Linked DNA regions of Mus musculus: regions 1, 2 and 4 are each reported to be linked to region 3. Evidence: microRNA targets listed by miRTarBase, many of them from high-throughput screens and not tested one by one. Region 3 holds a microRNA gene; each other region holds the end of a gene's coding sequence.

The links. Region 3 holds the annotated microRNA mmu-miR-125b-5p (UCCCUGAGACCCUAACUUGUGA, at 3,996-4,017, opposite strand). A microRNA usually pairs through its seed, bases 2 to 8, with sites in the 3' UTR of a target mRNA and lowers its output. Matches are read on the target gene's strand: a 7mer-m8 pairs with bases 2 to 8, a 7mer-A1 pairs with bases 2 to 7 and ends in A, and an 8mer does both.
Region 1: miRTarBase lists Bak1 as a target of mmu-miR-125b-5p. Seed matches in the 3' UTR shown: 8mer at 2,723-2,730.
Region 2: the mRNA of Trim71 is a reported target of mmu-miR-125b-5p. Seed matches in the 3' UTR shown: 8mer at 1,933-1,940, 7mer-A1 at 2,878-2,884 and 7mer-A1 at 2,988-2,994.
Region 4: the mRNA of Hif1an is a reported target of mmu-miR-125b-5p. Seed matches in the 3' UTR shown: 7mer-m8 at 881-887, 7mer-m8 at 1,756-1,762, 7mer-m8 at 4,472-4,478 and 7mer-m8 at 5,601-5,607.

What each region holds. Positions count from the first base shown.
Region 1 is chr17:27,014,911-27,023,045 of GRCm38, reverse strand. It overlaps Bak1 (BCL2-antagonist/killer 1), which reads left to right. Exons shown (of 6, transcript NM_007523.3): 3 at 169-304; 4 at 464-607; 5 at 1,699-1,879; 6 at 2,011-3,234. The coding sequence ends at 2,115. It also overlaps a transcript of Ggnbp1 not described here. Among named protein-coding and RNA genes, the nearest start is that of Bak1, 9.6 kb to the left of the region's middle.
Region 2 is chr9:114,506,364-114,514,498 of GRCm38, reverse strand. Trim71 (tripartite motif-containing 71) reads left to right here. Exons shown (of 4, transcript NM_001042503.2): 4 at 403-3,231. The coding sequence ends at 1,854. Among named protein-coding and RNA genes, the nearest start is that of Ccr4, 14 kb to the right of the region's middle.
Region 3 is chr16:77,642,161-77,650,295 of GRCm38, reverse strand. It overlaps Mir125b-2 (microRNA 125b-2), which reads right to left and starts at 4,023; the gene lies at 3,953-4,023.
Region 4 is chr19:44,570,581-44,578,686 of GRCm38, forward strand. It overlaps Hif1an (hypoxia-inducible factor 1, alpha subunit inhibitor), which reads left to right. Exons shown (of 8, transcript NM_176958.3): 8 at 534-5,694. The coding sequence ends at 578. Among named protein-coding and RNA genes, the nearest start is that of Hif1an, 12 kb to the left of the region's middle.

The DNA.
Region 1 (8,135 bases), not on the chromosome of region 3:
CCCCCGTGCCTCAGTTTCCCCATCTGTAGGCTGGAGCTCCCTCATGTGCCAGGACTAACTCTCATGCGGGCTGAATGCTCACATGGGGGTGAGAGTGGGGGTGGGGATGCGTCCAAGGAGGGTGCTTGGGACAGCTTGCCTTTGCTGACCCCCAGTTCTGATCTGCAGAACAGCAGGTTGCCCAGGACACAGAGGAGGTCTTTCGAAGCTACGTTTTTTACCTCCACCAGCAGGAACAGGAGACCCAGGGGGCGGCCGCCCCTGCCAACCCCGAGATGGACAACTTGCCCCTGGAACCCAACAGGTAAGCTCCAGCCTTGGGGTACAAGTCCTGGGAGCCCTATCAGACCTTCAGACAGGGCTAGGTGGAAAGTCTGCCCCCACCCCATGGAGGCGCCCCTCTGCCCTGAGCCCGGTTCCCAGTGCAGAATTCCAGCTCTCTGACTGATGCTCATCCCTACAGCATCTTGGGTCAGGTGGGTCGGCAGCTTGCTCTCATCGGAGATGATATTAACCGGCGCTACGACACAGAGTTCCAGAATTTACTAGAACAGCTTCAGCCCACAGCCGGGAATGCCTACGAACTCTTCACCAAGATCGCCTCCAGGTACCAGCCCATCCTCCACCCCGCAGACGCATGACGCAGACTCAGACGCTCCATAGGATGGGCTCCCCAGCTGAGGAATGGTGTCAGGGTGAACATACCAACTTCCGCCAGCCCAATTGCAACTGGATGGCTTCTAAGAGGCCACCTGATACCGCATCCCAGCCTGCCATAGGCTACCACTGTGAAACCTAGGGAACAGGGAAAGGACCGGAAGTCAGTGTCCCTGCTTTGACGCCACATCCAAGTTGGCTTGAGTTCTGTTGTCTGATCTTTATCTTCTGTGTCTGGGTGTTTAGCGTGCATGTATATGTGCGCACCAACCTGCGTGCCTAGTGCCCAATGGGGCCAGAAGGCTGGAGCTAGAGTTTACAGACCGTCATGAGCCACCATGTGGGTGCTGAGAATTGAAACCAGGTCTTCTGAAAGAGCAGCCAGTATTGCTAACCGCTGAGCCAGCTCTCCAGCCCCATTAAGTCTCATGTAGCCCTGGCTGGCCTTGAACTCTTATCATCCAGCTTCGGCCTTGCAAGTGCTAGGATCAATCATGTGCCACCGAGCAATGTCCTTTCCTTACACCAGGGAGTCAGCGTCAGGGTAGATCTCAAGGTGGTAGTTGATGTAGAAGCAGGCGGCAAGTTTAAGTACAGAGGTGGCACATCCTGTCCCTGTCCTCAGGCCCCACTCCGTCCCCTGTGATTTGGGGATCTGTCGTAATCTCTTCTGTCCTTTTCTCTCTGCTGTCCCTCGGGCTGCCAGGCCAGCAGCAACATGCACAGGTAATCTCCCTGTCACCTCATCTGGTCGCTCTTCCCTCTCAGCTCCCCCCACCCTTCCTTCTCCCCCCCCCCCTCGCCATGCAGCCAGCTCATCACATCACCCCTCCCTCACTAGGCTGTCTCCTTTCCTAGAAAGCCAGGCTCTTCCTGACGGGCAGCCAGGCCAAGGCAGACTTTCTGACCTGTCCTGGCAGCTTAGCCGTGTAGCTTCCCATCTGGTGGTGGAGGGGTGGAGGTCGGGTAGAGGAAGAAGGAAAGGACCGGGTCTCCCAAGGCAGGCTCTCCGTGACTTATGAAAAAACTCTTTGCCCACAGCCTATTTAAGAGTGGCATCAGCTGGGGCCGCGTGGTGGCTCTCCTGGGCTTTGGCTACCGTCTGGCCCTGTACGTCTACCAGCGTGGTTTGACCGGCTTCCTGGGCCAGGTGACCTGCTTTTTGGCTGATATCATACTGCATCATTACATCGCCAGATGGATCGCACAGAGAGGCGGTTGGGTGAGTGCCTGGGCTTGGGATGTCCCACCCCCCACCCCCCATCACACCCCCTACCCCCACCCCCCACCCCCCTGCTGCAGGGGCTGCCCGGCCAGGCCACTATAACCCACCCTGTTTTTTTTTCCTGACAGGTGGCAGCCCTGAATTTTCGTAGAGACCCCATCCTGACCGTAATGGTGATTTTTGGTGTGGTTCTGTTGGGCCAATTCGTGGTACACAGATTCTTCAGATCATGACTCCCGGGGAGCCCCACTGGGGCCCCAGCCACGTGCCTGGCTGGACTAAACCTCTCTCCCTACCCCACCCCCTACCCCCCACCCCAACAGTCCTCTCCTTCCTCCCCAGGGCAAAGACGCTTTAGCAAACAGGCACCCCTGATTTGGAGAGCCACCGCCCAGGGGTCATCAATACCCCAACATTGCATGGTGCTACTGAACCCCATCCTGTCTCAGAGGCACTGACTGACGCACTGGGGGGGGTGGGTGGGGGATGGAGAGGCTGGGCCACTAATTCCCAGAAAACTAGGTTTGTTTTTATACTACCCTTTAGATACAATCCACCCTTTTTCTCCACTGTGCCCAAAGTCAGAACATGGAGGGCTTGGGGACTGGTGGTTCGAACCTGTGTTCCCAACACTCCTGCTACTTTGGAAGGTCAGCCCTTGAGAAGAGACCTGAGCACAATCCTTGCCCTCCCTACATTGGCTCCCAAGACCAACTGTAGGAGACTGCATGACCTACTTCACCCCCACCTCATCGTCCATTTCCCCAACCCTACCCCCCACACCCCCTCCCCTCCTATCTCCTACCCCAATCCATCCATTTTTGCCTTGGCGGCTGGACTCTCAGGGATTCTGAGCCCAGAGTGAGGGCAGAGGTGAGAGTTCAGACCACAGCTGTCTGAACACATCCATCAGGCTCTCCAATCCTGTGTCCTTCCTGACCCGTGCTCCCAACCTAGTGGGTAGGGGAAGACGCCACTTTCTCCCCAGGGCTCTCAGGTGAGCCTGCCTGCTGGGGCGGAGGCCTTCCTGACAGACGGACGGACAGAGCCTCAGACTCAGCCACTATGACAGGGGAGGGGGTGGGCACTCTTTGGAGGTGTCCACACTAGAGAACTACTCCAGCAGAAGCAACTGTGGACCTGGGTGCAGTTCCTCCCCGGAACCTATGATTACTTGAACCCCACCTTCACTCCTTGTCTGCCTAGGTCCTCCTCGGGTTGGGTGGGGTGGGTGTTTTTCTCTGTCTTGCACAACATAGGGGTGAGAAGTTTTGATTAAGCCAAATGTATCGGGGAAGAGGGGGAGGCAGAGGGTGCTCTGTGTCTGGAAATAAACTGTGCAATGCCCCCAACACCTCGCCTGGCATCTTTACACTCCACTGACTGTCCTATGTTAGACTGCAGGAAGCTGGACACACTGCTGTAATCCCAGCTCCGCGCTACATAGGTTCTCATGCCGAGATCGCAAGATCCTGAAGTATGAAGCTGCAGTTGGGGCTGGAGAGACGGCTCAGCAGTTAAGAGCACTGACTGCTCTTAAATCTTTGGGCTGGAGTGAGCGGGGCCAAAGTGAGAAGTTAAAAAAAAATAGAAAAAAAAGATCCTGGGTTATGAATCTGCAGATGGTTGGAAAACCAGGACAAATCCCAACCAATCCTTTGTAATGACCCCGGCTCTTCACCCCTTACATCAGTTATTTATTTATTTATTTAGGTTTTTTGAGACAGGGTTTCTCTGTATAGCCCTGGCTGTCCTGGAGCTCACTTTGTAGACCAGGCTGGCCTCGAACTCAGAAATCTGCCTATCTCTGCCTCCCGAGTGCTGGGATTAAAGGTGTGCACTACTACGCCTGCCTTATTTATTTATTTAATGTAAGTACACTAGCTGTCTTCAGACACACCAGAAGAGGGCATCAGATCTCATTATAAATGGTTGTGAGCCACCATGTGGTTGCTGGAATTTGAACTAGGGACCTCAGGAAGAGCAGTCAGTGCTCTTAACTGCTGAGCCATCTCTCCAGTCCCATGTAATTCCTTTTTTTTTTTTTTCTGTGCACGTATGGTAGGGCTACACGTGCCACTGTGTGTGTGTGTGTGTGTGTGTGTGTGTGTGTGTGTGTGTAGTCAGATGGCACTGAGTGGAAATCAGTAAATCAGTTCTCTCCTACCATTTGGGACCTGGAAAGCAAACTCGTTGCCAGGCCCGCTAAACATCTCATGGCTCTCTTATTTCTTTGTAGTCCAGGCAGCTTCTGACCGCAAGGAAAGTCAGGGATCCCTTGGCTGGGGAGCTGAATGGGAAAGTGCACCACTCCAGGGACCCCAAAGGCTACCTCTCTACAGGAGCCACAGCCCACGCCGGCCCTTAAGGCCCCTTTTCACACTCTGCCTGGGACATAATGTTCCAGATCCAGATTCCCTATGTCCCTACAGACACACACACACACACACACACACACACACACACACACACACACGCTGGGCTTTTTTGATCCTAGGAGTTTTGATGTTGCATGGGAGCCCCTACAGAGAGGCAGCCGGGGGTGGGGGTGGGGGTGGATAAAAATAACAAGCTGGGGGCGTTAAAACGTTCCGAAATTCACAAAGATTCCTTTTTCTCTTTAGCCCTGGGCACCCCGGTTTGTGTTTCTGACACCCTCCCCAGCCCATCACAAGACCTGCCGGTCCAAGGGGCCTGGTGAAGCTGCACTTCCACTGGGCTGGGTTGGCTCTGACCTCTCCCTGCCTTCTGTGTGCCCACAGGTACTGGGGGCTGGAAAAATGTTTGGAACCGCCATGCTGAGCTCAAAGCTAACACTTAAGGCGCCGTGTACTATGGTGTATACTGAGAACTTTTTGATACTGGAATGATATGTGATGGGTGGGTGCGTTAGACTCCCACCTCCTAGAAAGGCAAGTGCCTTTTTAGAGTCACGTGGTTAACAAAAGCATCGAGCTAGAACTTTCCATAAGGTTACTAGCTCGAGGTTTTACCTGGAGGCAGGACGAGAGGGTCGCCGGGCTCGTGAGCACATGCCCGCCACGGATTTAGGTGAACAACGTCGAGGCAACTCTCTGGTCTTCCCCGTTGAGACCACAGTCTGAAGGTGAGTGGGCTGCCCGAGTTCAAGGTGGCCGGTGAGGCTTCACACGCATGCGCGCATGCGTGCCCCTTTGTGGGCGGAGCCAGGGAGCTAAGTTGTTCTAGCCATTCTCGAATTTGGAAACCAAAGGTTAGGAGTCAGTCATCTCCATCTGCAAAGAAGGTGAGCCCCAGGTTTGGAGCTTTGACTTCTCTGGCCCCCTCCACACCTAACAAGATGAGGTTACCCCAAACCTGGCCCCCAGTTACTTTCTGGAGCTGCCCAAACCAGAGGGCGATTGAAGTTAGGAGAGGCAGCGTAAGAAAGAAGCTGAGAGGCTGAGAGGCTGCTGGGCGCAGATGGACCCTGCAGGTGCCGCGGTTAAATCTAGAGCACACACTCCTACGCTTCAACATTTGTGGGTCTCCTGAAATTGTACCTTCTTTACACCAAATACATCTGGATTTCATAGCGAGTTTGAGGTCAGCCTAAGCTACGCTGAGAGCCCCGTCTCAAAAAAAAGGGGGGGGGGCACATTTTAGGTCATTGGGTATCTATCCCAACAGTTTAATTGGAAAATGCCCTCCCTTCCCCCAAATTACTCAGAGTCCTCTACATCCACCCACTACTGTATATACTTAAAATGTAGAGGATTCCAGCCCAAGGACTGAAAAGGTAAAGAACTAGATACTAATGCAAGTGCTTGGTGGGTGTGAGTCCCTGTTTCAAAAAGGCCGTAGCTGCAGAGATGACCCAGCAGTTATGAGCAGTGACTGCTCTGGCAGAGATCTGAGTTCAGTTCCCAGCGCCCACAACAGGCAGCTTATAGCAGTCTCTAGTTCCAACTCGACTGGATCCGATGCCCTCTCTCTGGATTCCAAGGACATCTGCTTTGTGTGCACATACCAGACCACCAAGCACGCATGTATACGTAATTAAAAAATAAAATTAGGGCCGGTAAAGACGCCCGCTGGAGAGCACAATGCCCTGAGACCCACCCCTGGGAACCACAGGATTCTCCATAATTGCCCTCTGACCTCCACACGTGCAGCTCACACCACGTATACATAAACTAAACAGCGAATGATAGAGTTCTTTGAAAATGTTTCAGTGCCTAAAACTTTTTCTCATTTGACTTGTAAATGTGTCCCGTGAGGGATGTGTGCTTGGAAAATAAAATCAAGTATGTTAAATTTGTAAACAGAGTTTAAATATTTACAAGAACCTAATTAGCTAAGTTTGTAAATGATGTGGGTGATGTTCAAGCAAATTCGTATGTCGGCCCACAGGCTAACTGAACACCAATCAAAGGACAAGTTATACCTCTTTCATTACACAAATGGTATATGTTAGTATACAAAATGTATGAGAATTCTAAATAGGACATCAGCATATGCAAGTTAAACTTAAGAATTTATGAAAGTATGACTTTAAATTTATAATTTATATATATATATATCAGGAGAGAGAGAGAACAGGGTACAATGTGGCCTTGAACTTGCTGTGTCAAAAATGATCTTGAATTCTTTATCTTCTTGCCTCTACCTCTAAGTACTGGGAATTGAGACTTTAGACAGGTCCAGCCTTGGAAACAGATTTTTTTTGTTTACATTTTTATTTGTTTGTTTATTTTGGAGACAGGATCTTAGATTAAAGGCATGGCCCACCAGGCTCTGCCAAGATTTTTTTCTCAATGTTGGGGAATTCCACACAGGGTCTCATGAATACTAGAAAAATGTTTTACTGTTGTCTGGCGGTGGTGACCCAAAACTTTCATCCCAGCACTCAAGATGCAGAGGCAGGCAGATCTCTGAGTTGGAGTCCTGGTTTATTGTGATAGTTCCAATAGAGGCAAGGCTACACAAAGAAACCCTGACTCAAAAGACCAAAACCAACAAAATAAAAACCAAAAGAAAAAAAAAATTAAGACCATCATTCAACTGTGTAGGCTATATCCGCAGCTGTTTCACTGTTGGTGACGGTGATGGTGCTCACTTTTGAGACAGGGCCTCACTGTGTGGACTGTATAATGATGTACACTAGCCTGGCCTTGAACTCATAGAGATCTGTGTGTTCCTGCCGGCTGGGACTGAGTGCTGGGATTAAAGGCATGTGCCATCACACCCGACTATGGTCTGATTTTTTTTTAATTAAGCACATATGAGTGTGTGTGTGTGTGTGTGTGTGTGTGTGTGTTGGTGTAGAAGAGGGCATCAGATCTCCTGGAACTGGCTCTAAACTGCCCAACATGGGTACTGGGAACCTAACTGAAGTTCTTTCCAAGATTAGCAAATGCCTTTAACCTCTGAACCATCTGTCCAGCCCTGAGAAACTGTCCTTTTAACATGTCACACCAGCCGGGCAATGGAGGTGCACGCCTTTGATCCCAACACTTGGGAGGCAGAGGCAGGCGGATTTCTGAGTTCGAGGCCAGCCTGGTCTACAAGAGTGAGTTCCAGGACAGCCAGGGCTACACAGAGAAACCCTGTCTCAGAAAACCAAGCTAACAAAAATGTCACATCAACAGCTACTTACATAACTTCGATAATTTTAAAGTTGTATTCTTCAAAGGATCAAATAAAAAGTTGTTATATGTATCACTTACAGGGGAGACATACATGCAATCAAGACATGTGGAAGTCAAAGGACACCTTTCTTTCCATTACTCGGTATCAGAGTATGGTGTGCAGTTTCTACAGCTGGTGCCTCTATCCACTGAGCATGTCAGCCCTCAACAGGATTCTTTTTTTTTTTTTTTTTCTTTTTTGGTTTTTCGAGTTAGGGTTTCTCTGTATAGCCCTGGCTGTCCTGGAACTCACTTTGTAGACCAGGCTGGCCTCGAACACAGAAATCCACTTGCCTCTGCCTCCTGAGTGCTGGGATTAAAGGCATGCGCCACCACTGCCTAGCTTTAACAGGATTCTTAATCTTTTTCTCTTTGTTTTTGATACAGGGTCTCTATGTAGACCAGGCTGACCTTGAACTCATAGAAATCCACCTGCCTCTGCCTCTTAGTGCAGGGGTTAAAGTAATCCTGTTTGCCTGTTTATGAGATTCTCTTTATCTGTCACTGTTTAGGTGGCTTTCCCTTCCCATGTCCTCATTTTTCCTTCCTCTCCTGCCTCAGTTTCTTCCTTTGCCATTGGAATGGAACTAATAGTGTTAATAGTG
Region 2 (8,135 bases), not on the chromosome of region 3:
CCCTCTTCTGGTGTGTCTGAAGACGCATGTACTCAAACACATAAAATAAATAAATAAATCTTTTTTTTTAATTAAATTTCTTTAATTTTTAAGCCCAGACCTCAGAAAAGTCGTCCCCTGTGTCCATAGTCGGTTTTCTGTAGCTCTCAGCTTAAGAGCACTAAGAGGTGATGGTTCCCCCTCAGCAAAGTGTGTGAGCTGGTCTTTTTACCTCAGGGGCTGGGGCAGCCTACCTCAGATGGGTCTGTTAGGGTTTGAATGCAGAAAAGAGAAAGGAGGGAAGGAATTGTTCTGTTTGTCAGGTGATAATCTCCCATCTCCACCTCCACTCGAGATCGCCGTGGGTTCCCCACACTCTGCTCTCTGTGCTTGGTTCTAAGCGTCTCTTTCCTCCCTCCTCAGGTGGAGAAGATCCGGCAGGTGAAGGCGAAGTCTCTGTTCCTGCAGGTGGAGAAGCTGCGGCAGAGTCTCAGCAAGCTGGAGAGCACCATCAGCGCCGTGCAGCAGGTCCTGGAAGAGGGCCGCGCCCTGGACATCCTGCTGGCCCGAGACCGGATGCTGGCCCAGGTGCAGGAGCTCAAGACCATCCGAGGCCTCCTGCAGCCCCAAGAAGATGACCGCATTATGTTCACGCCCCCTGACCAGGCCCTGTACCTCGCCCTCAAGTCTATTGGCTTTGTCAGCAGCGGGGCCTTCGCCCCGCTCACGAAGGCTACAGGAGATGGCATCAAGCGTGCCCTTCAGGGGAAGGTGGCCTCTTTCACTGTCATGGGCTACGACCACGATGGTGAGCCCCGCCATTCGGGAGGTGACCTGATGTCAGTTGTGGTCCTCGGCCCCGACGGAAACCTGTTTGGTGCAGAAGTGAGCGACCAGCAGAATGGTACTTACATAGTGAGCTACAGGCCCCAGCTTGAGGGTGAGCACTTGGTGTCGGTGACATTGTACAATCAGCATATAGAGAACAGCCCCTTCAAGGTCGTGGTCAAGTCGGGCCGCAGCTACGTGGGCATCGGGCTCCCCGGGCTGAGCTTCGGCAGTGAAGGTGACGGGGAGGGCAAGCTCTGCAGGCCCTGGGGCGTGAGTGTTGATAAGGAGGGTTTCATCATAGTGGCTGACCGAAGCAATAACAGAATCCAGGTGTTTAAGCCCTGTGGTTCCTTCCACCACAAGTTTGGTACCCTTGGGTCTCGTCCTGGGCAGTTTGACCGACCGGCTGGGGTGGCTTGTGACGCCTCCCGCAGGATCATAGTGGCCGACAAAGACAATCATCGCATTCAGATCTTCACCTTCGAGGGCCAGTTCCTTCTTAAGTTTGGTGAGAAAGGCACCAAGAACGGGCAGTTTAACTACCCGTGGGATGTAGCAGTGAATTCTGAGGGCAAGATCCTCGTTTCAGACACCCGGAATCATCGCATCCAGTTGTTCGGACCGGACGGGGTCTTCCTGAACAAGTACGGCTTCGAGGGATCTCTCTGGAAGCACTTCGACTCTCCACGGGGCGTGGCTTTCAACAATGAAGGTCACCTGGTAGTCACCGACTTCAACAACCACCGGCTTCTGGTTATTCACCCTGATTGCCAATCTGCCCGCTTCTTGGGTTCGGAGGGCTCGGGCAATGGGCAGTTCCTGCGACCACAGGGTGTGGCTGTGGACCAGGAAGGGAGAATCATCGTAGCCGATTCCAGAAATCACCGCGTGCAGATGTTTGAGGCCAATGGCAGCTTCCTGTGCAAGTTTGGTGCTCAAGGGAGTGGCTTCGGGCAGATGGACCGCCCCTCAGGTATCGCGGTCACCCCGGATGGATTGATCGTCGTGGTGGACTTTGGCAACAATCGAATCCTCATCTTCTAATTGTGTCTTCTGGGGTTTTCTGTGTTTAGGGTGTGCATGTGTGTGTCTCTCATTTTTGAATTTCAAAGAAGAAATCGTCTCAGGGATATTTCTTTTTCTTTTTCCCCCCCTTTATTTTTATTATTTTTTTTTTTTTAAGAACAAAAGTACAACATTGCCTAAGTCCTACCTCAGCTTAAATTTTTTTTTTTTTTTTTTTTTTACAGATGAATGTAATTCTCCTCTGTGCAGGGCTTGAGCCTGTGAAGTGATAATTTCTATCTACCTCAACTCTTTGCATTTCCCTCTCTGGCAAGCCTCTTGGCTCACATCCTCTTCCCTCCTGAAGGCCTAGGAGGCACAGGACAGCGGTCCTGCAACCTTGAGGGCACTGGAAGCATATGGTGGGGTGCATGCATTTTGTAGATTGAGCCAAGGAAACCCAAAAACTACTAAGTAAAAAAGAGAAGTATAAGATGTTGGAAAGATAGGATTTAAAATTCATAATTGTAGTGTATTTGTGTTCTTGAGAATACTGTGTTTATGTGGGGTTAGGTTGTGTGTGGTTTGCTCTTTTCTTTTTTATCGATGCAACAGGGCTTTTCTCTGTTTACCTCAGTGTGTCTGACATCTCATCCCTAGGAGATATGGCTGTGGCTTGCTAGCCTAGAAAAGCAGACCATTCATATTTTCGGGTGTCTCATCTTTGTATCTGGTAAAGAAGGGTGGGTGTGTGGGAGTGTGTGTGTGCACACGCGTGCATGTTTGTGTTTCAAAGCCATCTTTGCTTGAGGAGAAAAGCTGGACTTGACACAAGACATCCCAAGCAAATTTCTTCCCAGTTTGCTAAGAAACTCGATTTAGCTCAGGACTCTAGGTTGAAAGTGTTCGCAAAGGTTACGTGTCTGTGTTTTTGTTGTTTGTTATAAAGACTTAGGTATAAGAAAATAAGTTAACCTTGTTCTCAGAGAGAGAGGGGCTTTTCAGATGTGGACCAGGGTGCCACAGAAGTGGGGGGTGCTGGAGAAGTGAGGCACCCCCACATCAGGGACTGTTCAGGAGGGCGGGGGACCTCGTCTCTATGTGTGAGGGTGTGGTAGGCAAAGGGATAGCTTTGATTTGAGAAGCACAATGTTTTTTCCTGCTTTGGAAGTTCAGGGAATGTAGAAGATTGTCTGACTGGTGGGAGCACCTCACTCCCTAACCCTTGGCTCAGGTCTGTTTCTCAGGAACCTTCCCTAAGTCTGAGTGGAGGCAGACCTCAAGGTTAACACAAAGCCCCGTTCCTCCCCCAAAGGCCTTTGAATGTAAAGGATTTACAAACCAAACCACCCAACAGGAAGTGTAGGACACAGTATATGTCTTTTTTTTTTTTTAATTTTATTTTATTTAAAAAAAGAAAAAAAAAAAAGAAAAAAACCTGTACCAAAGAATAGAAACTTGGGGGCCTGTGGCTCCCATCCCATTGAAGTCTGATGTATTGTAAGCCACAGAGTGGGCCTTCTTGACATTCACCTCTGAGAATGAGGGCCCATCCCGGTTCTCTGGTTCTCTGTATTCTCACTACTGAGCTCAGACCAGATTTGAAAGAGGACAGAAGACTGCCCAACATAGATCTAAAACCCAGTTTCTGACCCCCATTGCACGGCAGGAACTCCACAGAGGAAGAGGCGGTGGGGACAGGATAAGGGCTCAGTCGAATTGCTTTGGGATGCTCAGTTTGCCTGTGTGAGCTACGACGTTCCTTCACATTCACATGACTTGAATTTCAGGATTTCGGGGTGATCTGAGTGTGGCGGCGGGTGCTGGGGGGCGGGGGGCCGTCTCAGCAGGGAGAATAGTACACAATCAAGGAATCCCGAAGGTAGCTTCAACTGCTGATCTCCATGTTTCTCGGGATGTGAAAGAGGGTTACAAGCTCCTTTTAAAATTTAATAGTGGGTCCTTCCCCAGTTTATATATCCCTTTAGCCTTTATTATGTCACTTAAGCGTTAAACTGATTTTTAAAAATTTTGTAGAACAGGACAACCCAGGAGGCCTCACCCCGCCCCCCCCCCGCTCCCCCCCCCCCCCAATCTTAAACTGCCTTTAAACACTCAATAGAACTAGCTTTACATTCTTAATGACACTAATTGAACAAATGAATCTTGACAACCTTCTCAGAAACCTGATTTTAATTGTGGCTGGGGAAAGCCGATTTTCAATGCTAAATTGAAGTCATGTTCAGTGTTCCTCCTCACAGCTCTCCTGTGGCAGGAATATTGACTGACTGACTGTTCAGTGAGAACTTTTTTTCTGGTGACTAACAAAATACTTGACATTTTACTTAGGATCTGATAACTCGGCCCAGGTTCCCATCTTGTGGTTGGGTCTTGATCAGTACATGGATAGACCAGTGTGGGCTTAGAGCACAGCAGATGTGTTCTTAGAGGTCTGTGGCTTTCTATATCCAGATCAGTGTAAGGGCTGGCTTCTAAGGAATTGTGATCATAGTTGGAGAACTTTTGTTTTTAAAACAAGTGGCTTATTGTGGCCGCCTGAGATTGGACTCCTAGCCGGTGGGGGAATTGGTGCTAAGCACTTTGGAGAGTGTACCTTGATATGGACTGATCCATATCATGACACCAGCCATGTTTGGTGAGCACCTGCAGCCAGTTCTGAGGTACGACAGGAAAGAGATTCAGGAAGGAGACACCGTGGGTGCTGGCTGGCCGGAAACCTTCTGTCACTGCGGTGAGCGACTGACGGGTAGCGGTCCCTGGTCAGGTGGCAGGGGCTGGCAGGAACTGGCAGGAGCTGGCAGGAGCTGGTGAGGGTGGGTACCAGGAGATTCCCATTGGAAGTGAAGTTTCTTAAGTTTGAGTATTAACCACCTGGTTGCCACCTGCCTAACATTCCAAAACTATAATCATCTGAAGGTCATCACCAATCTATCACTTTTGTTCATGAGAAGTCTCCAAACCTGTACTCCGTTATGGCTGGCAGGTAACTCCTTATCTTGGTTTGAGCCTAGTAGTCTAGGCTGTTCCCCTAGTGCACTAAACTTCCTCCAATCAATACCCTTGTTAAGTCTAACTTACCTGGGGAAGCACACAAGGGTACCCTAAACAGAACTGGACAGTGTTGGGCCATAGAGGCTGCCGGGATGAAGACACTTTGGATGGTCCAGAGTGTCTCGGTGTAGTTAAGCCAAAGCTTAATCATTTGAGTTGGGAAGTCTTTTAAGCTTGAAGCAGCACAATTACTGTCTTGTCTGTGTGTCTTCTTGGGTTTGGAAGATTCTAAGGTTGCTGTGTTCTGGTAGGTATTAAAAGGAATGCCAAAGTTCTAGGCTTGTTTTCCCTGTTGTTTAAGACGTGTGTGTGCGCGTGTGTGTGTGTCTGTGTGTGTGTCTGTGTGTGTAATATACACACACACGCAGTGGTGCCAAAATGTATTTATTTAGAACATCTCTCCTAGTGAGGTTCTGACAGTCTGGGGCTGTATGAAAATGATGCTATCATGTGTGTACAGTTACATAGGACTGGGGCTTTCTCTGGCTTCGTGTGAGCCAGGGTCACAGGGCAGGACACCGCCCCTAACCACACTGATTTTGTTTAGTATGGATTTTCTACCTCAATTTTGGCAAAAAGTTGTCTACCTCACGTCGGCACCGGATGGGTCTTAAAAGGGCTAGTATTAATCCAGTGGGGAGGGTGTGGATGTGGGAGACCCTCTCTAGATGCAGGGATGTTCAGGGATGCAGGATTGATTTCTTAGACAAACGTTTGACCTTGAATAAGAGCTGTCTGGTCAGTGTCGTCGTTCACCCAAGTAGTTCTCAGCCAGTCTGGCTTTCCCTGCCACAAATCCTGTTCCGCAGACAGCGGTAGGAGCTGCTTCTCTGACCGGATGGAGAACCTTCCACCATTAAAGGCCTTTAGGTCTCTCTTCTCTTCAAGAGAAAGCCGTTTTATCTGTTAGGAGCGTCTGTAGGCGTGCCCTTTTAGTGGGAACTCTACAGGTCTAGTGGGAAGCATGAGGTATTTGAAGGGAATGAGAGTCTCTGACTTCATGATTGTATTTGAAGCTGTCTGTGCCCAGCAGAATCTCCCGTCACGGCGGTGTAGCCCGTCTACAGTGACCGGTGACGTGTGTATTGCTTTTTGTTTTGATTTGTTCTTCCTACCAAAGGCAACACTTTGACACTTGTTGTTCCCCCTCTCCTCCCTTTGTTCTTGTTTGTTAAATACTTGATAAATTGAGAAGCACATTATCAGGACTGTTAACTTTCTCCCTGTTTGTCCCTCCCCAGTAACCTTCTGGTCTACCTGGATGAGAGAGCGCATCCTGCAGACCACGGGACTAATCGGGTTTTGGGTTTATAAATAAATGTCACCATGAAGAAATACCTCAATAATGTCTATTTTTAAAACTGGTGTTACGGGTCAGCAATCCAGCCTGGACGGCTGTTTTTCCATCATCATTTAACCAGTAATGGTTCTAAATGTTTGTTTTGTATCTGCATTGGTCTTAGACCCCTTTTAATGATTGTATTAACTCAGGAGCTCAGGTCGTACCTTACCTATCTCAGAGCACACTGGCTGAATGTTGGCGCCCCTGGCAGCAACGCGTTTACTTGTGCTGTAACCAGCTTTGGTTCTTGGTGCTCCTAGCAGTCTGTAGCTCTCCTTTAGAGGGAGACTGCTCACATGTATGGGTGGGGCTCTCTTGTTTTTTTAGGGTGATAAATGTCTTTCCCCCTTTTCCCTTAACGTCTGCCGGTGAGGGTGGGTGGTTTAGCGATGTTTAACTAGCATGTTACGTGTAGTAGTTGTGGGTGGGAGGGTTGGTTGTTCGGTTTTGTTTTAATGGATCTTGTTTGATACAGTCCATTAGCGCTCTCATGCCTGGTCAGCCAAAAAAGAGAAGCAGCAGCTTTAACTTTTATGTAACTGTAGAATACACGGCCCACTTCGGTCTTTTTGTTTAAGAGAAGTGAATGCACACCGCAGAGGCATTGCCTGATGCCAGGATGACTAAGTTAAGTGTCTTCCGCTGGACAAGCTGATTGAAGGAACACACCGCCTCCCCTGGCAGCAGAGCCCTCGGTGTCTCTGCCCCTTTTGGGATTGTGGTGGCATTTCTCGGAGCTTGTCACGGCACTGGGTGGCTAAGGGGATTTCCCCCTAAACCTCAAGGCAAAAGTGTATTTTTTTTTTTTTTTTATTTTATTTTTGCAAGCCCCTTCCTCCCCTTGTTGGGCTTTTACCTTTAAAACCTTAAATGTTACTATTGCCAGCCGCAGGCATGACGGGCAACGAGAGCGGGTGAAGAGCCAGTGGAAGAGCGTTCCAAACCTCCTGTGAGCTAAGCGGCTTCTGAATGTATCTCTGTGGTCCACAGAGAAGGCTGGGGGAGTAGCAAGGAGATGCTGTATCAGCTACTGCAGCCTTAAAACAAAGCCGGTGTCTCTTTGGACTTTAAAAGTGTCCCTATGCAGCTTATTTTATTTTTGTTTAATCAAATAAACAGAGGGTTGTCCCATGAAAACTTGGTGTCCGTGTGATTTTTTTCCATCTGGATTAGGTATGAAAGTACCACTCCTGGTGGGGGCAGGGGGACTCAGGGGTCTGGCTGTCCCGGGACTTCGCATGAGCACCCGTGCTAAACTGGTGTTGCTAGTGTTTTTCTTTTAGGAAGAAAACAGAACAAAACAGACTAGGGTCGGTCGGACAGCATGTCTGTAAGATGCTTGATGAAGAGAGTGAGTTCCCAGGACCTGGTAGAGCAAGAGAACCAACTCCCACAGTTTGTCATCTGACCTCTACATTCACACCATCACACACACATACACATACACACTTGTAAATGGCTGTGTGTGTGTCTGTATTTATACAGGCTCTATATTCCTGTCCTTTAGTTTCCCACGGAAGGAAAGTAACAGCTGTCTGTCCAGAGGGTAAGTGGCTGTGTGACTCACCAGCTGCCACTGCTGCTTCCTTTCTTCTGGTGGGTTCTGGCCTTTTAACCTCATCTTGGCCTGATGGAGAAGGCTCCATTTGAGGGCTGCGCTGTGACCCCCCAGGAAACTAAGCAATTCATCTCTTGGTGGGTCCTGATTTTGGGGGCAGGGAGGCAGGTGCTAGGTAGATTGAGAACTCTGCGCTCTGCCTGGTAGGCACATGCCTCTAACCCCAGGAAGGCTGAGGCAGGAGGATCATGAGTTTGAGGCCAGCATGAGCTGTGTAGTAAGGCTCTGCTTGAGAGTCTGAAACAATTGGGAAGTCGTTTCAGGGCTGCAAAGATGGCTCTGCAGTTA
Region 3 (8,135 bases):
ATTGGACATAGAGTAAACAAAATACCCAATTTAGAAACAAGGAAAAAGAATTCCACAGAAAATTCACTTGCTCAAACTTGTCAGATACCAGTTACCAATGAGAGAGAATAGGGGAAGAGAGAGATTACAAAACACCGCTTCTACAAAAGCTCCTCAAACACTATTTAACCAAAGGAGGACCCAAGGGCAACAATTCTCACTTACTTGGCTAAGCACATGCTATTCATGATTGGTGTTGTTCTATTTGGTTAGTAATTCACTATGAAGGGAACAAACTTAAAATCAAATTAGTAATATCAGTGGGGCAGATTTTCCACCTTACCAGGATTATTCATTTTGAGGTTGTCATAAAATATTCATGAAATCAGTTGATTGATAAGGAAACAATTTAATCTTAAATTAATCTCAATTACCTTCAGTCTTTACCTGCTTTCAAAGTTTCCACAGGTACAACATCGTATTCAACTTCCCACATAATATGTCTAATACAAACCGACAGGGGAAAAGTGTCACTCAGTGAAAACTGAAGTTAACTTAGTAATAACACAGTATGGGTGACACCAGGAAGCTTGTTCAGTGTGTATGCTGTTTTCATTAAATATTTTGTGGAAATGAACAGAGATACACAGACATACAGACTTGTAGACAGACACACACACACACACACACACACACACACACACACACACACTAATGACTATTTGATCATTGATGGATAAGGACACTAAACATGAAACTGATGCATAGGTTAAAAAATAGCAACTGAATTTCAGCCTACTAATTATGTATTTGCAGAGCTACAGGGAAAAACTTTATTTTCAAATGTTTACAAACTCTCAAGATTTTCTTTTTCTTTTTCTTTTTTTTTTAAACTCATCTATATTTGGAAACTTGCTTGCTTTTTTTCAGATGCAGTCACTTAGGGATCAGTGGGATTTGAATACTGAATTAAAAGTCTACTAACAAATCAGACAAAAGAATCCAGGCATCAAAACTGTGCCTTCCTTGGCTGCCTATGAACAAGGAGGCTGCATTGCATGTGAAAATGGCAAGGAAACTTGAGCTTCAGCCCCCCTTTGTATGTTGCTATACTATAAACTCATCCAAACATGACAGCTTGCAAGGTCATTTGCATATTTAAAATATATTCGTTCAAGGTTAGCACGTGTACCAGCATGCCATTTTGAAGATGAGTTTAAGGTAAGCCCCACCTTTTCTAATTTCATTAATAATTAATTTTTACTGTAATTCCCCTGAGATACTCCTTGGGAGATTCCTCCTTGGGAGATTATGAAATGACTTAAGAATATGTCTACGCTTCTGTTGTGTCAGTGGAAGACTGAAATGTTTAGGAATTTTAAACTGAGAGTGATATTGATCTCGAGAATCCTAAAGGAAAATATAATCATATTAAGATCTGGCAAAATTCCAAATGGTCTCCTTTATGGATTCTAAAATGCTTTAAACATTGTCATGTAGAAAAAAATAAGTCCAGTTCCCCTTGAAAGAGATCTAAACCTAAAAACACAGGTATCACAATATTGTTAGAGGCACACAACGGAGACAAAGGAAAACTACTATTTCATTAGTGTGCAGTAAATGGCTAAGTTGAGTAATGATTTTTATTTCTAAAAAGAATGTGAAGTTGACAGTAATTTAGCAAACAATAAGAGAGAGAGAGAGAGAGAGAGAGAGAGAGAGAGAGAGAGAGAGAGAGAGAGAGAGAGAGAGAGAGAGAGAAACAAGCAGGGGTTAGTCTATGAACTTGGAACAGTGACTTGCTACTTCAAAATTAAAATGTACAAATAAGCTGGTGTCAGAGGAGAGGTGATCCCTCATTTCCAATACACTGAGCAAGCTCACATGGGCAGCAGACAGCTCTTAATGTATGCGTCTGGCTCAGGCTGCTCTCCCAATCCAGAAGCCATCAGATTGCTAATATCACTGCGTTTTGTATGCAAACCACATCATCTTCTCACTCTTTGTTGTTTATCTTTTTGTTTATTTTAAGCTTAGAATGATCTGGTTTTCCAAGTCACATTATGAATCCACAGAACTGCATTATCTGGTGACAGCTGAGAGAGAAATGCAGAGATAGTCACATCCATTCACACACAACATAAAGTAGCTTATGAAACAAAGTCTGATGTACACACACACACACACACACACACACAGACACACACACACACACACACACACCTTTATAGCATAAGACTTGTTTGTGAGTAGTATTCTCACACAACACATGCTTTGCACAGAGAATGTTCAAAATTGCAAGATACATGATGTATATCATATATGATATATGTGATGTTCAGGAGAAGTGAAATTTATTTTAGCATTTTTTTCTCCTATAAAATCTAAGTTAATATATACTACTGTTCATTATCATAGCATAAACAGAAAACCTTTACATTTAAATTTTTTGCTATCATAGCTGACTACTATTATTCCCTAGTTCATTGTGGATTTCAACTGATGAAGTAACACTTGCATATCGTTTATGATTATCATAAAACAGGTGTTAGTAAACACACTCCTCTCTGATCATCTGTGTAAAGCTTCTGTTAAATAGAATCAAGCTTGTGTGATGCTCACAGATACACATACATAGAGTTCTTTGTGATTAAAGAAAAGTTCTGACTTTATATTTACTCCTTTCACATGGAGTCGTAAAACATGCTTATATACACACTTAGATTTTAAAGCTTCTAGATAAATGACAGGGGTGAGGCCAGGAAAGAATCTAAAAAGATTCTTTGTGTTGATACGACATCAACACAAACTTCAACGTAGTCTGTGTTTATGATACTATTATATTATTTTTAGGAAACAATAAAGATGCTTTGCATTTTTTTGATATTTCAAGTAATGAGCAATAGTAACAACCTTAACAAAAACAGAACAAAGACTCCACATGATATCCTAAAATAGATTCATAGGTTTATTTACTAATGGAGAAAACAATTTACGGTGAAACATCAGAGTTAAAACACCAAAGTCACTCTTGCCTGTGTTATGAAAGCCACCTTGTTTTAAGCCTAAATTTCTGCAATGTTACTGTATATTTGGAATAGATTTATTGATTATAGATCAAAAAAAACACATGTTTAATGTATCATTGACTAATAAGTCACACAGGCTATGGATGGAATATTTACTTCTGGTAATGAAAATTCTGATCAAAGCCTGCATCTCAGACGTGTTTTACATGTGAACAAGAGCAGCTGAGTTCATAGGCATTCTCTAATGCTTTATAACACACACAAAGTGAAATGTAGAAATTCAAAAGCACTGTATTTTCCCTAAATATATACTTTGTGAATCTCAGAATAAGGCAGTTGTTCATACATATATACTGTTATGTGTGGGCAAAAGACTAAGGAAACACTGGCTAAAATTACCATGTATAAAACAATATTCTCTCATATTAGTATCAACAAGAATAAGATCAATAAAGAAAACTGTAAATCGTTTCTTTTTCAGGCCTCGAGTATGATTAGAATCTCATTTGACGTAGTCTAAGCCACAGTTCTATGGAAGCATGCATAATTTATTGAAATAACTAATGTATATAATTCTACGCATACAAAAACTTATGAATATAAACAACTCTTACAATGAATCTTCTTCATCTTAAAACACACCCAAAGCGATGTTTATTTTTTTAAAAAGAACTTGTGTTTTAATTCTACTTCTTGTACATATCTCTTACAACACTTTTATACGATAATCACAGTAAATACAAACGCTATTTCTATTCTACTGTGCCATATCTTTAGAGTACCGATTCTGAAGATTGTATTTTGGGGGTGTTGTCATGGTGAAACCCTTGCTGATTAGAAAGAAAACCATTGTTCTTTGCGCCTATGCAGAATCTATGCCTGTTCTTTTGTTCTGGTGGTTTATGCCGAGAATCAATAAGGTCCCAAGCTGCTGGTATCCCTCCGCCTAGGTCCCAAGAACCTGACTTGTGATGTTACTAAAATACCTCACAAGTTAGGGTCTCAGGGACTAGGCAAAGTCTCGTGTGATGCAGGAGAATTCTTCTTCCAGGTAAACGGACAGCTTGGGAATTAGAGTTGGGTTCATTTATTTTTAATCTTCTAAATACTAATTGAAACACACAGACAGAAACATAAGTAACACATGAAAGTCAAAGATGAGCTGAATAATCAGGACGGCCACCTATAGATCAGAACTTACAGTAATGTGGGGCATGAAAAACAAAGCAGACAATGGACATTTAAGAATCACCCCATTCTATCCAAAGAAGGAGACAAAAATGGGTTAAAATATGCTCCTTGCAGATTTTTACAGCAACACCCACTTCTATTACACTAAAAAAGGATTATATGCCAGTTAATGGGGCCCTAATTGATATTTTGCTTCTATTGAAGTTTTATATATCACAACTGTTACTGTGGGCCCAGGATATACAACACTTCAAACTCTCATTTAAATTATTACAGATAAGATTTAAACAAAAACTTTGAATATGTCATAATTTAATACCTATTAATGTTGATTTTTCTCTTTAAATATGCAAACTATTCAGACAGCAAATATTTTCATGCACACTTCATAGTTATTTGAACAAGACCACCTAACAAGCTTTAACTTAAAATCCTGGCAACATAGTAAGAAAACAAAAAAAGATCCTTTACTTTGAATAATTACATTATATAGTTCAATACTTTTGAAAATACACAGTCTCAATCCTGACTATTCATCAAATTCTCTCCCATCTTTTCGCCTTGTTGTGAAAGAGCAGAATCTGGACTTTAGGAATGATCCAAGGTTTAGTAGCACAGAATGCAGGGCAAAACAATCACACTTAGCACAGCATAAAACTCCTGGCCACAGAAGTGGAATCTGGTTCTTCAGAAGTGGTTGATCTTAAAAGGGAAAAGCAGGGGGGTTAGAAAAGGAGAGAGGGGGAGAGAGAGAGAGAGAGAGAGAGAGAGAGAGAGAGAGAGAGAGAGAGAGAGAGAGAGAGAGAGAGAAATGGAATGATTTAGAGTGTTTTCCTCTAGGCAGGTGAACCATCCATTTCCAGGAAGCTGCAAGGAAAGCTATGCTGAACAAAATATTTGCTAAGTGTTCCCCTCCCCCACCCTAGTACCACACCCCTTTCTAACCACCACCCCCCTTCACCCCTGCCCAGATCTTTACTTTGCCTTGTAAGACTTAAGCATTCTGTTCCGTGATGTAATGCATCATTATATAAGATCTCTTTCTGTTTATCATTTGATTTCCCATACTGAATCACTTATGGCCCCAAATAAATAGTTTTATAGAAGAAAAAAAAAAGATAAAACCAAAACCAAAAGAAACAACCAAAAAGCAGCATTCACAAAAAGCAAAGAGGAAAAAAAATAAAATTAAATAAAACAAAACAGTACTTAGATAAAAGTCCATGCTTTTTCCTTAAAACTGAATATGGCTTTACAATTTTTGACCATAGCATTCAACCAATTATTAGAATGAAAAATCTCACCCCTCCATAAATATGACATTAACATAATTATACCACCCCCATCACGGAGACCCATCCTCCTTAGGGAATACATCTGATGCTCCAAAGATGGAAATCAGTCAGATTTTAGTTGCTCTCCAACGTACCTTTGCTTCTCACTGACTGACTGGCTTTTACCCTCCACGCACTCACACGCCACCCCCTCCCCTCGGCTAGACACGGATGCCCGAGCGAGCACGCGCGCGCGCACAGGCACACAGACACACGGAGAGAGTCGGGCTAGCATCTGATGCTGACTCAGAGCGCTTCTGTGTGCAAGGGGTGGCGGCGGCTGGTATTTTCACTGCGCTCATCATTAACATTAACGCACAGTCTGGCATCCACCCTCTCCCAGACCTGCTGGACTGCGGCATTTGCATGACGCTGTCACTCTAGCTTCTGCAGGTCAGATGATGGAAGGAAATGGGGAGAAAGAGAGAGAGAGGGAGAGAGCGAATTAAAAAAGAAAAGAAAAAAAAGCCTTGAGACTCTCCTAAGAAATGCCTTCGTTTTGTCCTTATTTTTCCACCTTTTCTACTTCCTCTGTGGCTGTCTCTCAGCTGTTTGACATCTTCCCGGAAGAAAATGCCTTGTGCTTCAATGAGCCAGTCGCCAGTTAGTCCTCCCCTCCCTTCCCTCCAATCCCCACCCTTTTCCCTGCTAATCAATAAGACAGATCTGCAAGAGCAGTGTGGAGACAGACTCAGGCAGAGTCTCGCCCGGGTCCCCACCTAAGGAAGCAGCCAGGCCGGCTCACACACACGTGACACAGAAAAAAAAAAATACCATCAGTTTCTTAACAGCCTTAGACTTTATTCTGCGGTTTCATTTTCTTTCCCCCTTTGACTGAAGAAAGGGCAAAAGAAAGTCTATCCGTTTTTATGTGAAGACCCCACCCAGCAGCAGACACCCGTACATCCATACGCCCATAAGGCTGGGTGTGTAGAGATCAATTCTTTCTAGTCAAATAAATAAATACATAAATAAATAAATAAAATCTAAAAGCTAGGATTTTAATCGAAGTGATAGCTTCATGTTTTTATTAGCTATGCTCTCATTTCATAGGAATTAAAAGACAAGACTTGCCAAGATCTGACTCATCAACGGGATTTAAACTGTGTTGAAATGCTAACTTGGTGGAATGAGATCGACTAGCTGGATATTAGTATATTTTAATTTTAAAGACTTTTAAAAATAATAATACCTGACTGTTCGTGGGTATGTACATCGTAAAAGTGTTCTGGTTCAGCATATTGTGATTGAATATGTAGATTTAAATAAAAGGTGGATCCCTGTACATCTGTACACTATTACTAAAGAGCCAAAACCTTTGGCCATGATTGTGCTGGTGTTTCACAACATAGAAGACACCAGTTTCTTTGTTCTCCAGTCTCTCCCTGGGATGACAGTATGGTAAACTGCCACCTTCCCTTTCTACACTAGCAGTGTTTCTGAATTACTTGCCGGGCAGACTTAGCTATTGGTGACTCTACAGAATACAAAAAAGCATACAAAAGGGAAGGAACTATCACCATCCTCCAGCCAATGCTGGCTGGTGCTGCAAATATGTCAGTTTACTCTCATAGGCAGTCCCAGCATGCAATGCGGCACGCACGACCAAGGAAGGTAGCAGTTTGGCAACAGATCTGTGGCAACAATTGCGGAGAACAACCAACCGCTCGCTGAGGTTCCAAAGAAAACATCACAGGATCCATAAAGAGATGCAAGTAGAAATCAGCTCTTACAGGCTTCTGATTTGAAAGAAAAAAAAAAAAAAGGAAAAGGAAACAGGGGTGGGGCGGGGTGAGGTGGGCTGGGGTGGGGGTGGGGGCCAGCAAATCTCAAGCACAAAGACCAGCGGAAAAAGGAAAAAAAAAAAAAAAAAAAAGGAAAAGAATGTCCACAGGAAGGAAACAGGATGTTGAGTTCGTACTTTCAGAAAAAAAGAAAAAAAAGGCATGAAGGAAAAGGATGAGAGAGGTAGGCAGAAAAAGAGATGGATGGAATAGAGACCCAGAGAAAGAAAGATGGGAAGGAGCAGAGCCGCCATGCTGGTTGTTAATTGCCACAGAGAATATGAAGCATGATTTCTGAGTCTGGAGACTGCAAAGGACTCGAGTCCAGAATCGGATGAAAAGTTGAAATAAAGACAGACACCCACAGGTTAGCTTAGCACAAGTGTCTGCCAGTGGCAGCAAGAAGCCTGCAGAACTTGTCCTGTTTTTGCGTCTAGCTTATTGCCTTGATCAGACTTTATTTTGATTTTTTAACTCTCTTACATATGTGAATTCTTTAGGCTGCCTTTGTCCCCCCATATAGTTACCTACAATGCTCTTGATAAATGAGTGTCATGACTTTGCTATGGCTATCAGATCTAACAGGTTGACGATTTTAATAATTGAGTGTGTGCTTACAGCTACTGGCCACTGATATCCCGCTCTGTAGACCTTGTGCATGAACATCTCACTTGCAGCTCTTGGGACAAGATACAAGATACAAGGCACCTTCAACTTTTCTCCTTAATCGATGGTATTTCTTTCTTTACATTCATACAAGCATACATGGCTTAACTCCACAGAAAGCACAAAATATATTAACTGAGGGATTTAGAAAA
Region 4 (8,106 bases), not on the chromosome of region 3:
CCAGCTGGGCCAGGGCTGCTCTAGGTAGTGCTGAGTCCTGCTTCATCCCCAGGTACATTACGGTCCATTGGTAAAAGAGGGAGGTGTGCATTTTACTTGCCTTACCTCCTGCCTGTGGTTCGTCTCAGCATCAGAGGTGCCTGTGGGGTTGAGAGCACTAGCACTAACTGCAGGTGGCCTTTTGTTGAGGATGGAGAAGCATTTAAGATTCTTCAGGCTCATTGGAGAAGCCCGCAGACACACTTTTCGGTGTTTGGAGGTTATTGGCTCCTCAGACCATTTCCTGTTTGATGGGTGCTGCTTACAGATACACGGGGTATTATAAAAGGGGAGGAAAAGAAACTGGACCTCCAAAGGGTCACTGTCATAGAATATTAAGTTGACATTCAGGAAAGTTGATTAGAAAACTTACAAGAACTGAAGAGCATTTGTCCCTGCCCTTAGCTGAAAATTGCATGTCTCTAGGTACACCCAGTCCTACGCCAGGATCGGGAGATAGGCAGTTCTGATTGGCTTCTCATATCTCTTTACAGGTGGGGCCTTTGTTGAACACCATGATTAAAGGCCGTTACAACTAACCTGCCAGAGGTCAAGGCCTCCTGTCAGGTGACTGCTATCCTGTCCACATGCTTCGTTGATGAGGACAGGACACTCCAAGCACTAGTATTGCACGCTGCACTTAATGGACTGGACTCTTGCCATGGCCCTGGAGGCAGGTGTCTGAGGCAAGGCAGGGTAGTTGACTCCACTCCCATTTGGAAAGGTTTCTCACCCTTGCCTCTTGAGCCCCAGAACCTTCCCTCTGCCCCCCTGAAGTCCTGCATTTAGTGTGTGGAGTCCCAGCTTCTGGTTGTAATCATGTCTGTGTTAGTCTGTTAACCTCAGGGTGTGTGTGTGTGTGTACATGTGTGCATATGCATGTGTGTATACACACACATGCATGTATCTGTTCCTTGTTCCCTCTTCCTGGGTCAGGATGTCACTTCTGGCTCTCAGCTCCTGTCTCCTGAAGCCTCAGTGCCTCAGCCTGGGAGGAGAGATGCTCCTGTGTCCCTACAACATCTGGGCTGTGGTGCCAGAATGACTCTGCACATGAGTCTGCCTTCTGCCAGTTTTTGCAGCATAGTCAGGCTACAAACCAGGTGGCAATAACTGCTGGGGCCCTAATGGGGACATTGAGAAGGAGGCTTATCTTTGGGAGGTAGCCTTCTAGTGGAAGAGGATTAGATAAGATTCCAGTTGAGAACTACATGCTTAAGCCATACATAGAAGGAAAACTTGGGGACCTGAAACCAGGATTGTGCATATGTCCAAATACAGGCATTTGCAGCCGTTCTCTTCAGTACCAGCTCCTGTCCCTGTGCTGCAATGAGGGATTCTAGCTCTGACTTTTTTGGGCTCGAGGGGTATGAACCTCTGCATGTGTGTGTACACATCTGCACACTTGTATGCATGTGTGATCACACTTGCCATCCTTCTTGCTTACTAAGGTTCTCAACTGCTAACATTGTCCAGTGTGGCAGTACAGCGTGAACCCCAGATACTGCCTGACTCAGCCTAGAGCTTTTACACTCGGATTTTAGCCATCCCGTCTTGGTCAGATCTTACTGCAGCCTACCTAAAGCTGACTGGCTCAAGCCTCCCAGTCCTGTGTCTTTCCCTGTCTGAACCACATCCCTGCTCCTGCTGAGCTTCCTGGCTGAGTAGATGAAATGGGGTCAGACTTAGGCAGCTAACTCAATACCTTTCATCCACCTCAGGGCAAGGGGAAAAAAAATGTCCTCTTGCCTCTTAGAGCCAGCGCCTCTGCCAGACCCAACAAAGCGTCGCATGTGAGCTGGAGTAGAGCTGGGAGAGCTTGGAGATAGAATTTACTTTTCTGTTGGTAGCTGTTTATGGGAGCCCTCCTCGGGGCTGCAGCTTATAGCTCTGTGTTACACAACACAGAGCGCAATCATTTGTATCTGTTAAGAGGGAATGGGGCCCCAGCAGCTTGGCAGAGTGGTGGCCCCGTGTCCACTTACCTCAAGTCCCTTCCTTCTCTGTCAACCTTTTTTCTCTAAAATTGGAGTTGGAAGTCTGATTTTATTCTTTTCTTTGCCACCTTTTAGTCCCCTTCCCTGTAGATTTGACCTCCCGTGTTCAAGCTGTGGGTCTTAGCCCTGAAGCTCAGCTTACAGCGCCCCATGGACTGAACAGATGCAGGCGAATGCTTGTGCACCCGTGTGCGTTTAGGGGCGGGAGCTCTAGCCCCCACTCTGGGCTCTGCAGTGTGGTTGCGCAGACTTGGTACCTTCTTGAGTATGGCTCTTTAAATACAGCCCGTGCTGGGCAGTGTGATCGCGGCAAACGCATGCCTCCATCTCTTTTGGGAACGAGGGATGCAGCAGAAGAGGGAGGCAGAGTGGTATTAGTTTGGCCACCGTGGCGGATTTTCATTCTCCGCAGATCTATGGTCCTGGCTCTGCCCTCAAAGGTGTCTGGGATGTGTGGCAGGGAGTCTGGATCTGCTCGGTTGACCCTTCAGTATAACTCTGCTCTCACAGGTCTGACCTAGGGTGGCTGAGGGCAGCGAGAGAGAAGGTGAGCTTAGGCACCATCACAGGATTGGCCCTGATGCTGGGATGATGTCATGGCTGTTCCTGGTCTTAGACACCTGATGTGTACCTGTTGTTTCTAGCTCTGTCCCTCACAGTGCTGCGTGGTAGTCAAGAGCAAACCTAATGCCATTTAGCTATAAACCCACTACTCCCTGCTCCTCCATTTCTTCCAAATGCTGTTGGTTCTCTACCTCACCTCAAGCCTTGTTCCCTAGAGAGTGTGCAGGTAGACTCAGGCAAGAGGGTGTGGAAGGGTGAAAGGCTTTGGGGGTTCAGCTAGAGACATGGAAAAGCTGCCTAGAAAGCCATCTTAACAAGCTAAGGGTTCTGGGAAGAAGCAGAAGAGTGAGCTTCGGCCCTGCGGGGGAAAGGGGTGCTGTAGGTCCTGTAGCTCCTCTCACCACACCTCTGCATGCTGAGAGGAAGCTCTGGTAACCCGATTCATATTCTGCTGGGCCACTTCCTCCTGGGGATGGCAAGCAGGGACTCACCTAGGCTAGGGTCTCAACCCTAGGGCTGTTGAGGCTCCAGTTGTACTTGCAGCAGAGCAGGCATCACTATTGTGTACCCATTCTAGCCAACAGCCTGGGAGTCAGACGTGCCAAGGAAGGTGGAGACCTGGGCTTGTCCAGGGGTCAGCCATCTTGCAGGCTCTCGTGTTTATACCAGCAGTACAGTGAAAACTACTGTTTTGTGAAGTCAAATATTTGCTGGGGGGTTAGAGTTATGGGGTGGAGGAGGGGCTGTTCTGGGCATCAGTTGAGCAGATGCCCAGGATGCCTGGGGGAGACCAGCTTCCCCTACAAATCAGAGCTCTAAATTACAAGGTTTTTACCAACGCGAACAGTTGGGGGAAGTCGTCTGCTCTCATTTGCGTAATGGTTTCTGTCACTGGTGATTAGACACAGGATGAAGGAAAAGAAATTTGACAATTAGGAATGAGCCATCATTAATCTGAATCTGTTAGGAGACAGAGAGGGGAAGGCTCCTTACTATTGGGCCAACCTAGTATGGGGAGACACTCCCTATTTCTGACCCCAGAATCTTGTGGGCCAGGTACCCTTTTGGAGTTCCCACAAGTGTGGGTGGAGTTTGTATGCCTTCATAGACTGGAGTCCAGGCCCAGCTTGAGGTGGGTTTGCAAACAGACATCTTTCTGCCTGAGCCCTCGCAGTTGAAGGTAGGTAGGCTGGTTACTGCGTGTGCTCAGTTACAGGAAGGATCTCTGTAGTAGTCAGCACTGTTGCGCCCCACCTGTGACAGGGATCTGTCACTTCGAAGCACTTGAGCTTGTGTGGGAAGCCTGAGCTTCATCAAACCCCAGACACTGGTGGAAGTTGGAAAGGAAACCGTATGAAGAGTAGCAGAGCCTAGGTATGTGCAAGGAGGGGTGTGAGGAAGAGCTGGTCCAGCACAGGCTGTCTGGGAGGAGACTCGGCCTCTCAGCAGCGTTGTCTTACTCTGGATCAGCGAGCCATTGCTGTGGGGAACACTGAGGTTCCTGGCTCAGTGACCCAGTGATGTGGCTATTGAAAAATGGAGAGTCCAGCGTAGATCTTCCAGTGTTTGCAAGTTACCTCACCACTCACCCCCATCCCTTCAAACGCCTAAGAATATTAGTCTGTACCAAGTAGTGGTCCTCACCATTAGTGTGTTCCTTAGACCCCAGCCCCCCCAAGGTTTGGAGGGGGCTCCTCTGTCTCCTTTCATAATGTGAACTTCTCAAGGATGGTGCTATCTCAGTCCTTGGTAAGTTCCCTACCTCTGTTGTCTTTCATCCTTCAAAACTTGGTGCAGAATTTAGCAAGGGCTACCAGCAGTGACCCTCTGACCAGTTTTTCCTACATGGCCAGGGGTGGGGATGGGGATAGCTCAGGGTTGTAGAGGCCAGGCCTTTCCAGTTCCTGTTTCTCTTGGTGTCCTCTTGACCCATCTTTAAGAGGATCCTTGAGCTTTCTCCTAACTAGGCTCTCAGTGGCCTCTTTACCAAGGCTCTTTTCCTCAAAGACGCTCTCTGGCTCCAAGTGCTGGGCAGCCTGGCTGGAGGATCCCTCTCCACAGGGTCTGTCCCTGCCCCTGCTTCACTTCTGACCTCAGGTAGCTCTGTTGCTGTGTCCCTGCTGAGTTGCTATGTCCGTCTGCTCTGTCCACTTACCATTCCTCAGTCTTTCCATGCTGGGCCGTTGTCTTACCATGGCCATCCTTCCTACCTTTTCTTCAGCCAGCTCTGTTTAATTATAGACCCATAGGGTCCTGACTGGAGCCCCATTGAGCACTTTGGGGACGTTTCTGGAGGAACAGAGGCTCAGAAACTGGTGTCCTCAAGGCCCATGGGCCTGTGGTTAGCGAAGCCTCGGAGACAACTGGGGAGGAACTTGGAGAGGTGAAGGACTTGGTGAGAGACTTGGAGAAAGAGGCCAGGCTTGGGAAAGCAGGGTGGCAGGAGCGAGCTCTGTTTTCCATGAGTGTGTCCTTGTGCCTTAGGGTCCAGCAGTTCAGGTATGAGGGGCATTTTCTGAATGCCTCCTAATTTCTCTCAGGTCTTTGGCTCAGTGTCACCAAGTTTGACAGACCCCTTCGTTCCTGAGCTTGCTAGAAGGGAAGCAGCACGTTGAGTGGTGTGGTGTGGTGCGAGAGCGGAGGCCTCCCATGCAGAAGGCTGGGGTGGTGGACAAGAGAAAGGGCCCGGTGGTCAGCTTCTCACCGATGACTCTCCATGCCTCAAGAGACTGAGTATAGTAGTTGGTTCAAGAAGTTACTCTAAAACTGCCTGCCCTCTTCACCTAAAGTCTGTTCTCATTTCGGGGAGGAATGCAAGTCCTTAATTTTCAAGGGAAGACAGTCTAGTGTTTAAAAGCATGTGTCTGGGGTCTGGTCCCTTTGGTACATTTCTAGCTTGCTACTTACCAGCTGGGTTTGACCTTGGTTGATTGATTGAACCCGAGTCTCGGTTTCCTTTCCTATAATGACTTGTGGGGGTGGGGGTTTGAAAATATCTACCTCAGGGTTGCTGGATGAACTGAAATAATGTCTGTAAAGCTTTAGCACAGTGCCTGGCAAGCACTTAATAAACGGCTGTGGTGGTGGTGGTTTATAGTATGTGACTTATTTAAAAAACTTGGCTTCAGTGATGTGTACGATTTCCAGCGACTCAGCCTCTCTAAACCCATGCATGCCTCTTCTGCCCGGTCAGCCAGGCTCCTGCTCACTGCCGCCTGGTGTCAGAGCCCCTCACTGACACATGGTGGGAGCTCAGTGGCCCCTCATCCCACCCGGGGAAGCTACTGCCTCCCACATACAGAGCACCTACCCCTGCTCATGCCTGTCTCCCAACTGTCACTGGCACCTGTCGCCACTCCCTTCTAAATTCCTCTGAAGAGAGTGACAGCTCAGGCCCTGTGGCTCACTTTTATGACATTCAGCATGTTTAAATGACAAATGTGTTAAGATTGCTCGAGGGCATAGGGAATTCCAATTGAAGAAAATGGGTGGGTGTTGACTAACTGTTAAGTGCTTCTGTCCAGGCACTGTGCTAGTCCCTTGCACTGGGTGCTCTTGGCTCAGTAGGGAAGTTAAGGATGCCCTGGACAAGCACTTCACTCAGCTTGGATATTCACAGTAGAGTAGGCCTTCTATGGAACGCTACAGCCTGAACTGATAACTGGAAGACATGTAGCTCCTTGGGTTGCAGAAAAGGTAGAAGGCATGTTTGTACCCAGCTTTCTCTTATACTTAGTCCAGAGAGTGCCAGAGAAAAAGACTAGGTGTAGTAACACGAAAAGAAGAAAACCCTTTGGTTAGTCACAGAAATCTGGCAATCCGTTTGGTTGCTGGGCTGCGTTCATTGTGAAGGGCAGATAGATTGGATTGGGCCATTTAAAGTGCCCTGCTGTCCTCAATGTTCAGCCTAGCCCGCTAACTGGGTTACTCAGGCTTCAGCCTGAAATTTACTTGGGTGCGTGGGGTTCCCCGCACCCCCCACAATGGGATCCCACTGATCTCCTGGCTGCCTCCCTTTGTCTTATGGTGTCTCTGAGCAGCAGGGCATTTAGAGTCACCTGCAGTCACTTCTTTTATGTAACTCGGGCCTTGGCTATCTTCCCTATTGGACCAGCCAAATTTACTGATTCTTTTTGCTTAAGACCTGTTCACTTGGTCATCAGGGTCAGTCCTGTCTTTAGGGAAGCTCTGTACACTAACCCAGAATCGCTGTGTGTGTGGACCAGGTTTTTTTATCCTGTTTGAGTATATAGTGTGTAGTATGGTGCAGGGGCGAGGTTGAGAAATGACAAATGCACACTGGGTCCGCCATTCTGTGTGACTTTGGAGAAATGACAAGTGCCTGGACTTGACCTCTTCATAACTGCATACTTTGTGATGGTTACACAAAACAAGGTAGGTAAAGAAAGGCTTAGCAGAGGGACAATGGTGGCGAGACCCAGTCATCCGCCTTAGCCTCCAGGGGTTCAGGTGTCTGTCCTTCCCAGAGTGGATCTCTTCTCCATCTGGCTTCCCAGCTAGATCCTGTGGCTAGTCTTAAGGTGTGCCTGGTTCTCAGCACCTGAGCAGGGCCCAGGGTTGAGCATCGACTCCTGCTCAAGGCTCCCTTCCCCTCGTCAGTGACTTCCAGCTCTCTCAAGGACCTTGTCACCATTGCCATCAGGCAGTGATTTTATAGAATTCATTTTCCACACTATATAAATACAGAACTGTGAAATCAATACATCCTCTTTTCCTCTCTTCAGGAATAATTGCTTGAAGGTTTGTACCAGCTGGTGACAGTAGTCAGGGGATAGGAGACAGTGATGTGGGAGGGGTGTCACAGTAGGGCCACAGTGGTGCAGACGAAGTTGTCATAGGCTGTTGTGCTAGTCTGGAGGCAGATCACCCCAGGCTAGAAGATGTTGCTTCTGCACATCTTTGAAATTTCACTTCTGCCTGTCCTTTATAGTCAGCATAGCTGTTGCTCTCCCAGGGACTTGCATGATACACTGCTGTGAATGCCACCCATGTGTCTGAATCCCCACTTAACCACTTCCTAACTCTAACCTTAATTAACCTCTCTGGGCCCCAGCTTCCTGGTTTGGTCTGTGAAATAACAGGTAGCTTGCAACATTGAGGGTTTGTGAGGCGAACCTCAGACCCAGTTCAGGGAGGGCACTTGGGAAATGTGTTTTCTTACAAAAACTGTAGTGTTTTGTGGGTGCAGGGAGAAAAACTGCTGATAGCAGAACTTTTCTTACTCTGTCCTGAGTTTTCAAGTACAGTTCTCAAAGAATTCACACAGAAGAGCTATACTTGAGATGAAGAAAGAAACATGGAGACCATAGGTGGTAGAGGGGACTGGAGATCCATAAGCCAGAGCTGGGCTCAAAGATGGTTCTGCCAGGACAGGATCTCAGGGAGCAGGGGTGGAGACCAGACCTGTTGAAGGGGCAAGATGTGCGTGTGTGTGCAGGGCACAGATGCTGGGTGGGGAGAACTTGCGTGTCAGGAGTGGTGACTA